2 linked regions of the Caenorhabditis elegans genome follow. The protein of the gene in region 1 interacts with the protein of each later gene in a pairwise test. Each region holds a gene or a part of one and is shown in the gene's direction. Other genes may lie near its edges.

Region 1 (3,105 bases):
TCTACAATATTTCATACATTTTTGAAAAAATTTCAAAAAAAATTTTTGGAACCAATTTTCTCATGGTTTGGTGGAGTTTGGTGGAGAAAAAAGTGGCAATTTTCGAAAAAATAAAAATTTCTGAAAAGTTTCCAGGGTAATTGTGGTTCAATCAAAAAGCAAAAAAGTAATGTAAAAACCTCAAAAAACTGTTTTAAACATTTGTTTCCCGTTCTAAAAATTTTGTATAAAAAAAGGCCAAAATTTAAACCATGTGTGGGAACCGAACCCACAAACTTTTGCTCAAGAGGCGAATGCGTTCACCACTCGACCACCGAAGCGATGATTTCACCCTTCCACCATTGTGGTGAGACTTCTGTTGGCGCCAGAGACAAAATCCACTGTTAACCATAGGAAATGCACTGATTTCAGTACTACATTTTCAGATGAAAATTTCCAGACTCACAGAGGTCTTCTGCCGAAACAAATCACAGATTCTGAAAGCCTAAAACGCCAGCTATCGCATAACACGTTTACTTTTACCCGATCGCACCACATAGTTAAAACACTCCCTAGTTAGTGTCCTGGTCATAATCATCTCAATTCTTTGCACATCACTTGAAACCGTTCAAATCTTTCTCAACAGCAATATGGGCTACACTTCATCGTCGCTCCCTCCAGAAGCGATGGCCACTTGGAAGTTCACGATGTAAAATGCTCGTGCGTGATGCTTTATTTCTTAGTTCGTGACTTGGCATTTGTCTGTGTCATCTTTTCCTCTGACCTGTTAGTATATTTCTTAAAATTGTTCATTTTTATTTGTATCAATTGTGAAATCACGACTCTGAATATGAATATGCATAACTCTCTTTCATATTGTCACCTTTTTCGATAAAGTCGTTGTATACTTTTATGAATAAACCGATTTCATGAAGTGAATCATTCAGCTTGCGCGACAATTTACACTAAAGTTTCACACATGGTAAATCATGAGAGAGCAAACTGTAGGGCGAGGATTTTTTTTTCACGAAAACTCTATCACTATGATTTCACTGAACAAACAAAGAGGCGGACATTTCAAAATTGTGGATCATATTCAAATAGTGGATCAAAAAGAAATATAGTTCAGTCTATCCAATGTCAACTAACAGGAAAGGTCGGCATTTGGATGATCTTCTATCTTTGTTATTATTTGACGAGAAAAATAGTCGAATTTTAGTTTTGTGCAGTTTCTGTCACACTTAAAGCTTTGTATATCGAGCTTTTTGTAAAGTATAATTTTTTTTCAAGTAATAATTTCAGTTAAAGATTCCAAAAAAGCTTTTTCCTATTTATTTCCCATTTATTTCTATACAGATTTAGTTTGTATCCTATCGTAAGGATTGTTTCGAACTTAACCTAAGGAGTTAGATAAACTAAAGTAACCAAGTAATGACGTTTTTAAATGCCGGTAGAAAATTCTATCGAAAGCCACTAGACTCACTCCAGATAAACATCTCACAAAGTCGAGTTGAACCGCTGTACACTATATAAGCATGAAAAATGATTATCTGACTTCAAAAAATGCTTTCTATTTTTTACTTGTTCAGAAAACATGTTCTTGCACGTTTCCTAAATTACATAAAATCGAATGATGTCCTAAAGTTTTTACGAATCCGAGTGGGTTGCCACAAAATAAATGAAATTAGCTCAGGATGCCTACGATTTTTTAGTTTCTGTTTTCTCAAGTTACGTAAAAAGTTTCAAACCACAAACTACTCTGAACTATTTCACAATGACGTAAGTATAATTTGATCTACCTGTTATATCTTTTTTATCTTTTCTGTAAGTATTTTTCCGGTTAAAAAATGTTAATTTCAGTCACAAAATGCATCATCATCACCATCACGCACCATTCGCCATTGCTGGCCTTCTGATTATTGTTACAATACTAACCGGAGTGGGAACTTTTACAAATTGTAAGTTTGGCAAATTGTCGTTCCCTGAAATGCGAAATTTATTCCTAGATTGGGGTGTTTCTGGAAACTTGCACATGGGAATTTATCAATGGGGACAGGCAGGCGCGAACAGAAGTTTCCAAAGAAGTGCGGGGTGGCTGCAATGTGTCGTGGTTTGTCAATTAATGGCATTCTCATTTGAGCTCTTGTTTTGTCTTCTTGTCATACCTGCAATGTAAGTAAAGTTTAAGACAAGTGAAATTGAAGACAACTTATATCATTTTACTTTACAGAGTTTTCCGAAGAATGATGCCGGTTCATGCAGCGTGTACTCTTCTCTCCTTGATCATATTCATTTTACTTCTTATTTCCATCATTGTATTCGCGGCAAATATTGGAAGCTTCTATTACAACGCATTGATTTCGTTAAAGGTAAATTAGTTTTGAAATTCAATTTTTTAAAAGTGTGATTGTTCAGCTCGGATGGTCATGGGGAATCACTTTGGCTGCTACAATTCTTTCATTTCTTTTACTACTAGTATCTGGAAGTGCAACTGGATATGGAGCATACTCGGAATACCGATAAATACTTAACTTGAACATACTTAACGCAAAAGCTTTATTCATGACAAAATAAACAGTATTGACAATTGTACAAGCTCAGTTGAATTCGTCTAATCAATGGAAAACTTTGAGTTTGAAATAAAAATTTATTGTACGGCCCACAAAGGAATCCGTTTTTAATTGATATTTTTATATATTATCAAAATACATTCAACATAAAAATAGGAATACAATCGAAAAATGTTCAACAAAGAAAAGCATCATGTGTTTATGTCTACTTGTTACCTGCTATAAATTAAAGTTACGTATCATGAGTTCACTTTTGATGATAGTTATTAAATCGTATGAAATTTTTTTCATACGGACCAAAAAGAAATATTAGGAAATTTACCCAAAAACATCGAAGGACTGAGTTACCCGACTTTTGAATGCACCAGCTTAATAGGATCTTGTGAGATACTGTTTCAAACGTGCATTACTAACTTTCTGGAAAACGGTTTAATTTCGCAATTTTGATGTTCCAAAAAATGAATACTTTGTACCTTTTGTTTTGTTTTTCTGACGTCATTTCTGATAGGTATGACTCATTTTATGACTCGGGCACTACTCAATTCCATTTAGAAAA
Region 2 (8,233 bases), on another chromosome or scaffold:
TTGCAAGAAAGCCAAATTTTAAAATTAGCCTGTTTTTATTTTAATTTTCAAACCATTCGAAAATTCTCAAACTTTTTGGTCTGTACTTTTTCCCGAAAATTATTAAATTTTATTTCTTCAAAGTTCACATCTTTTGTCGGAATTCTTGTATTTTTATCGTCACCCTAAAAATTTAACCATCTGTCAACCCTCTCTATCTGAACATATTGCTCTCAAGTACATGTTTTCCTGCAAGTGCTTCTCCTAATTCATGTTCCATTTCCTCTTTCCGTCTGTTCTTTTCTCTAATCCTCTTCTACATTCCTATACTATTTCCACCTTTCCAATCTCATCAGAATATTCATCCAGGCGAAATGTTTCCGTATTTTTGATTGTTCGAGTTGATAACCTTTTCTCCGTTATACCTTTCATTCAATTCATAAATGTTTACTCACATATTGCCACTCCTTTCCCTGACTCATAATAACTGTACCCCCATTTTTTTGCAACGTTTCTTTACTTAGTTTTCTTTCTATTTTTTTAATGGTTGCCACACAATTTTTGTTATATTTTCTCCGGATGTTTTCCACTGGCTTCCAGCCCGTTGCGCACTTTCATTCCGGCTCGTTTATTTTTGTAGACATCGTCAGTTTCTTGACATTTCTTATTCTTAAAAGTTCAAAGTTTATTGGAACTTGAAAAAAATCAGAGTTTGAATTTTAAAAATTTTTTTCAGCATATTTTTTGCAAGTTTAGAGATTTTAAATTCCAAAATTGATTTTTGCAGAATTTTTTTGACAGTTTTTTTTAAACTGAAAATGTAGTACTCAAATCAATAGTAGCCAAAGCAATAAAAAAGGCTTGAAAATATATTCCCACCTGAAACAATTTGCGCTCGGAAAATTTAAATTCAGCCAATTTCAGCAACCTTCGTCAATTTAAGAACACCCTCCAGTATAGAAGCTGGGTTTTTTATTTGCAAACTTATCTAGAATGCTGAAAGAAAACTCGAAAAGTATTGCTATTTGTTCCAGATTTTTCCATATTTTTCACACTCATTTCCCAAAAGCTTCTGGCTCCAAGTAAATATTTTTCCAATTTTTTGCCAGTCCGTAAATATATCTATAGCCTCCCTCGTCGTCATGTTTACATGCTCAATTCCATCCTCATTTCTCATTATTTCCTTCATTCATTCTAAAAAATCTTTTCTTAGAATGGACACTTTTAATTTTATATCTGTAAAAATAAATATGTGAAAAGAAAAGTGAGGAAAAAAACAAAGATTGAGAGCCCCCGTTCTGTGATGATTGATGAATGTCGGGTGTTTGAGAATTTTTCATCAAAAACATACTTTCCTTCATCTCTGATTTTTTTTTGGATTTTAAGGATATGTAGAACATTTTGTTTTCCTAATATTTCAAAATAAGATTTAGTTGAAAAATAAATTCAAACATCAAACCTTATTGGCCGACACCCTCACGGTCAAATTTGCCTATCTGATACCCTGAAGTTTGAGCTTATTTTTTTTTGGTTAAATTTTTTGGGCCAAAAAATCGGTGGTCCAATTTCGTGACTTCAAAAAAAGTATTCAAAAATACTAATTTTTTGGATCAATGTAGAGCGCATTTGCACTGATGTACCGTAAAATATGGCGAATTGATAATTGAATTCAAAAATGGTTCGGCTGTGCGGTTCAGATAGGGCGAGTAGAAAGGCGAATAAGAGGTGCCTTCCTACGTCTAGGAACACCTCGTATCTGTGATCTAACTTTAAATTTTTATCCCCAGAATTATTTGCGAAATTTCTGATTTTTGCGACAATTCTAATTCAATAATTGATTTGATTATATCGAGTCTAGACTCTCTATACTTTTTGGCACCTTTTCCCTTTTAATCTCCTTTTTTCTTCCACTTTCCTCTTGCCTCCGCTCTGAATCCGAATTTCGCTTTTCCTTCTTCACACAAATGAACGCAATCCAATTAGTCCTCATCCAACCACCCCGTCCGGTGCCCAAAAACCTGATCCTTATCACAGTTATCACCCGGGAGACGAAAAAGAATATAATTATGAATAAATAGATATTTTCACTTTCCCGTAAATCCTTCTGTCATTCCTCTTCTTCTTCTTTTCTCCAAGCCTCGGAAATATTCTAATCAATTCTGAAATTGAAAATCTCTTCAGAAAAGAAGACGTCGCCGGGACAACAACAACAGCAAGTGGGCGGTGCATGCGTCGTGCGCACCGCTGCTGATAACAAAATAGTGTGCGAGACGGTGAGTCGCAGACAAATCTCACGGGGGAATATCATTTCAGGTCATTCCAACCGGAGAAGACATGCGCGCAAAACGGTCCTTTATTGTTAAGGTTATGCAATATCCTCGGATATTGACACCCTTTCCCGTACCGCCCGTTCGCTCCTCAGTTCCCCTAAACTGATACGAATTATATCCGCTCCCCAACCTTTCCACCTTTTGAAAAATTCAATTTTACAGCTGCCTAATTCAATCCAAACAGCCGAGATGACAACGGCTTCCGAGCTGCTGTCAGACGACGCAAGAGCTCGATTCTCACATACAAAGGCTCTTTTTGAGCAGCTTGAGAGACAGCAAGACGTGAGTTTTTTTTGGATGATAATAATTGGTTTCCGAATTTTGAAATCATTTTGCTATTTTGCATTACGGTTATTTATTTTTCTTGAAAAAACTCACTAAATTGTGGATTAGAGCATATATTCCAGAATTTTTATGCAATTTTTCGCAAAATGATTTTCCTGGCTATATAGATCAAATCTGTAGCTCCCTATGAACAAGTTTTGCCTGCTAGTAGATTCTTCACTTAGGCCTTCAAAGAATAAGTCCCCTCTCTTGATTTGATCTATGAAAATTGCTGGAATTTTGCTCACAGGAAAAGTGAAAAAGTATGACGTCCCCGCTCTTTAGATCACCAGCTGAAAAGTCTGCGTCTAAATTTGGCGAAGTTTTCGGAGATCATTCGGAAAAGAGATACTCTGACTACCAGTTTCTGTATCACTTCACAGCCTCACGTTTAAGAAATTTGACGTCACGTCTGAAAAATGTCTGAAAAAGAGGTTTCCCTATGATCAAGTTTTGCTCAACAATTATTAATTTGGGTCAAAAGTTGGAAACACTGTCGACTTGATTTAGACTTCTACCATATTTATAACTCAAGTTTTGTTAAACACAGCTTAAACCCAGTATTTTCAAAGTCTTGCCCAAATTTTGCCAACTTCTGAGCTAATAGTAAGCTAACTTTTTCAAACATCAGATGCCCGCCACGCTTTTTCCAAAACAAACTCTAAATTGGGCAAGCAGACTACTGTAGTGTCAATTAAAAAATAATGTTTCTAGGTTCCATCATTCTACTCTCCACGTCTTCAACGTCAACCACCACCTCCATTACCCCCAAAACCTCCATCTCAATGTCCGCCGAGTCCGATGTCACAGGTATGTGTGATCAAACAATCACATGGCTCTCTTTCTCTCTCTCTCCTTCTCTTTCTGTTTTCTGGAAAAAGAAATGGAATTTAAAAATTCAAAGACTGTGTCAGTTAGTCAATGTTTTGTGTCTCCAACACCCCCGTCTCTGTTATACTGTTCGGTTGACTAATCCGCTCATCGATAATAGATTCAAAAATAATGGCATTTACTCATATCACACACACACTCCTTTCCCCCATCAGACACACACGCATATAACACATAATCGAAAACTCGAAAACTTTTCCAGGTCGAACGAAATTTCTCTGATTTGGCCGCGGATCTCGATCGGATCCAATCATCGCCGGCAACGTCTAGGTTTATACAAAATAAGTGAGTTGTTTTTTTAAGGATTTGTTACCATACCATAACTTTTTTTTAATTCTCAAAAAAATGTAACTGTAATTTTTTTTGATCAATCGCAATTTTCTCCATTCGGTTCGCGGGCCAAAGTATTTTAATTTTTTTTGGTAGTTACAAAAAGTCGCCTGCAACTAGATTTCAGAAATTCTAGGAAACTGTGCGAAATTCAGATAAATTAGTTGAGAATTTTTTTAAAGGAACTTTTTTGAATTTTCAAATCGAAAAAAAAACCAAAATCTCTGTTTTTTCTTTAATTTCAACTAACATTCTTCTTTGCTTCATTATCAGCTTCGCATGCCTTTTCTTTTTCCAATTCAGATCATCAACTCTTCCGTCATCATATTCCGATTCCACACAGCAGTATTCGTTCGAAAATACGGTTGCCACGTCGCAATATGGAGGACTTCAAACCAACAACAATAATAATAATATTAATATGAATTCATTTGAACCCTATTGGAGAAATGGATCAATATATCGGAGGCAATTCGAAGGAAATGGCAAACCGTATGTGTTTCGCTTCTTTTATTTTTCTTACTTTCTCGCATGAGTTTCTTTATTTTTCTCTATAATAGTTTTTTTTCTTGCGCTGAAGTATTTTAGTTGCGACTAACAAATATTTGTGTTTTTTCGAAAAAAAATGTGGCCTAGAAAAAACCAGAAACTTGGCCAGCATATTTTCTTAGATTTCTCATTCGGGATTTTTTTTGAATTTGCTAAAAAAAAGATCCTTGTGACTTTTCCAAAGTACAAAACTAAAAGTAAAATTTTTGATTCATTCAGGAACACGGTCTTCTTTGGATCTTTCAGAATAGTGATGGCACATAATATCTTGAAATTTTCGAATTTTTCAATTTGAAAAATCTATTAAGATTACAGAAATTGCTAAAATAGCGTGGCCGAGTTTTCTCACATATCGGCTCGTTGGAACCGTAAAAACCCTTTTCAAGCCCATTGTTGGCAAGCTTATGAAGGATCTATCGTAACCTTAAGTTTTTAAAAAACCGCACTGTGTTTGTGATAAAAATTCATTTAGTGTGTCTAGATATATTTTTAGAACGCCGATTTTTTATCGGACATTCACATTTTTTAAAATTTAAAAATTTGATACGATTTGCGCCAGATTGTTTTTTTAGTAAATTTAATATATGCAGGCACCTGAAAAAACCAATCATTTCATGAAAATGAGTTGCTGTTAATATAAATAATCAAATTTCTTCGATCAAAACTTTTTTTTCAGTTTTGGCGAGGAAAACGATGGAATCTCACCAACGACGAATGGAGTGAAGCACACGACATACGCCGTCGTCAAAACACCAAAGGAAACAGAACTTGAAACAACATCAGAAAACAGAGGACTCATGGAAACACGGAGGGGTCTGAGTCCAGAGAGGCCTGACGTGGATTTAACGAATCGAAAGGTCTCGTTCAGCACTGCACCTATTCCGGTAAGATCACCCACTTTTCCCATTCACTCATGTTTCTTTGTTGTTGCAAGTTTGCTCTATGGAATGTATGATGTTCAAAATAATTTTATACTTTTTCTAGGCCAAGACAGATTGAAACGTGGCCGAGAAAAATCTTTTTGAAACTATCAATAGAGCAAACATGCATTCACTGAAACTTGACCACCACAACCTAACATTTCCTTTTGTTTACATATATGTGGCAAGGTGATATTAATTCATTAATAGATATATCTATACAATCTCGAATTAGGTCACCTTATTGATATGATAAGAGATGAGGAACAAGAGAAAAAGAGAAAGAGAAAGCGATCTTCATTTGCATAATATCTAAACGTTTTCACTTTCAGGTCTTCTCGGCGTTTTCCGTTGAAGACTACGATCGCAAGAATGAAGACATTGATCCGGTGGCAAGTTGTGCTGAATATGAATTGGAGAGACGACTTGAAAGAATGGATTTGTTTGAAGTTGATTTGGAAAAGGGTGCCGAGGGACTTGGAGTCTCTATTATTGGTTAGTGATTGTATTGTGGCTTACCATAACTTAGAAGCCTTGTATCTCGGTTACAATCGGATGTTGCTCACAGTTTCTGTTTCATTTTTATAGTTGGAAACTTTCTTTTCTCGGCATAACCAAAGATAACCGAGATATAAGCGCTTAATTAAACTTGAAGGAATGTCAACCTGAAGCTACTGTTTAGGAAAAAATTATATGCTTTCTGCCTGCCTACGGTTTTCGGATAAATTCGTTATGTTTCAGGTATGGGTGTTGGTGCAGACTCGGGTCTTGAAAAGCTGGGAATCTTTGTAAAGAGCATCACACCTGGCGGAGCTGTTCATCGAGATGGACGAATTCGTGTCTGCGATCAAATTGTTTCAGTCGATGGAAAGAGTTTGGTCGGTGTCTCACAGTTGTATGCTGCAAACACGTTGAGATCCACCAGCAATCGAGTCACTTTCACAATTGGTTGGTTTTTTTTGGAGTATTGTGCCGAACGCGTATGATATATTGCATTGATGACTCCGTGAAATAACACAAATATTTTTGTGTGCAACAGCGACTCAATACACCATATTCCGCGCAAGCGTAGAGAAAAAAAGCATCTAGAAAATATTTCAATTATGTTTACCAGTTATCTTCCAATTTAAAAAAAATGTATTGCAGGTCGCGAACAAAACCTTGAAGAATCCGAAGTTGCTCAGCTAATTCAACAAAGTCTTGAACACGACAGAATGAGAATGATGGGAGACGAGGAAGACGATATCGAAGAGCCGCCACCACCACCATCTCAAATGCCACAGCTACCAATTGAACAGGATCGTCCGACAACTTCAATGATCACAAAAGAAGAAATTGAGATTCGTTCGAAGATTGCTGCTCTTGAACTGGAACTTGATGTTACTCATAAGAAAGCAGAGCAATATCATGAAGTGTTGAGCTCAACGAAATCACATTGTGATCAACTGGAAAAGCAGAATGAGCAGGCAAATTATATGATTAAAAACTATCAGGAAAGAGAAAAAGAGTTGTTGAATCGAGAAGAGAATCATGTGGAACAATTGAGAGATAAGGATGTACATTATGCATCATTAGTTCGTCAATTGAAAGAACGAATTGATGAGTTGGAATCGAAATTGGAAGAAGCTGAAGAGAGAAGGCATTCTATTCAGAATCTTGAGCTTATCGAGTTGAGAGAGAAGTTAAAGGAGAAAGTTGAGAAGAGGAATGAAGGAATGGCGTATAGACCAGGTGGAGAGCTTCCTCACGAGGATAAGGCTGTTATGGTTAATTTGGAGACTATTGTAAGTTGGAGAAAATATGAAAGAACATTCATCTTCAAACTTCATTCTAAAACAGTTTTCACATAATGCCTAAAATTAAGCTTGAGCGTAGGCCCTATGCCTAAGCCTAAGCCTACGCCTAAGCCTAAGACTAAGACTAAGCCTAAGCCCAAGTAAGAAACTAATTATAACACCCATTTTCATTTCCAGACTCCATCAACCAAAAAAGATGCGGAAGTATCAGTTGGAAGTAGTTGGACAGAAGAGTACTCATCACCATGCGAGTCGCCAGTCCCTCGTATCTCCGAGCCAGCATCTCCGGCTCTTCCACATAAATTGACGCATCGCAAACTTCTGTTCCCACTCCGAAAGAAGTACGCCGAAAACGAGTTCTGGCGTGCCACGTGTCAACCAGTTGGTCTTCAAGCTCTTCATTGGACGGTGGACGATGTTTGTCAGTTGCTCGTTTCAATGGGCTTGGACAAATATGTGCCAGAGTTCACCATTAATAAGATCGATGGAGCCAAGTTCCTCGAGCTCGACGGAAATAAACTGAAGGTGAGTAAGATGTATACGATCCCGGCGCAAGAAAACTCGGGTAGAAAAAAAAAACGCTGCAATTACATAACGAAAAGTTAAACTATTTCGTAGGCACCAAGGTGCTAAAATTTTTTAAACTTTTCGGTTTTTTGGGTAAAACCGAGAAAAAGATTCCTGAAAATTCTGAAATGAATTCAATATTTATGTTACACTCTATTTCATAAAAACAACAGAAATGTCACTTTTCGAGCAAGAGAGACTGAACTTTTGTTTTTGATTTTTCAGTTTCTTGTGCCAAACCCAAAAACCCTTCAGGTCTAGTAGGCACAGTCTGCCTACCTGAAAAGTGCCTAGAATATACAAGGCTTAAAATAGGTGCATTCTATAAACCTTATGTGACGTCAACTTTTTCAAATTTTCCACAATTTTGGGAAATCACACCACTTGAAATTGTTTATCTGAATCAATATTTTTTAGGCAATGGGAATTCAAAATCACTCGGATCGTTCTCTAATTAAAAAGAAAGTAAAAGGAATGAAGAATAAAATTGAAAGAGAACGAAAACAGTTGGAACGAGAAAGCCGTACCCGAGTCATTGCACACACAA

The links.
Region 2: the proteins of hic-1 (region 1) and nab-1 interact in a protein complementation assay, tested with the Caenorhabditis elegans proteins (one study listed by BioGRID).

Annotation. Positions count from the first base shown.
Region 1 is NC_003284.9:6,597,443-6,600,547, reverse strand, and holds hic-1 (Lens fiber membrane intrinsic protein), read left to right. Parts: upstream 1-1,839; 5' UTR 1,840-1,846; coding exon 1,847-1,937; intron 1,938-1,985; coding exon 1,986-2,151; intron 2,152-2,209; coding exon 2,210-2,348; intron 2,349-2,394; coding exon 2,395-2,502; 3' UTR 2,503-2,569; downstream 2,570-3,105.
Region 2 is NC_003279.8:4,227,417-4,235,649, forward strand, and holds the start of nab-1 (Neurabin-1), read left to right. Parts: upstream 1-2,160; 5' UTR 2,161-2,252; intron 2,253-2,469; exon of another isoform or gene 2,470-2,471; 5' UTR 2,472-2,498; coding exon 2,499-2,591; intron 2,592-3,347; coding exon 3,348-3,443; coding exon of another isoform or gene 3,444-3,527; exon of another isoform or gene 3,528-3,726; coding exon 3,727-3,809; intron 3,810-4,157; coding exon 4,158-4,346; intron 4,347-5,079; coding exon 5,080-5,287; intron 5,288-5,655; coding exon 5,656-5,818; intron 5,819-6,064; coding exon 6,065-6,271; intron 6,272-6,469; coding exon 6,470-7,107; intron 7,108-7,296; coding exon 7,297-7,644; intron 7,645-8,103; coding exon 8,104-8,233.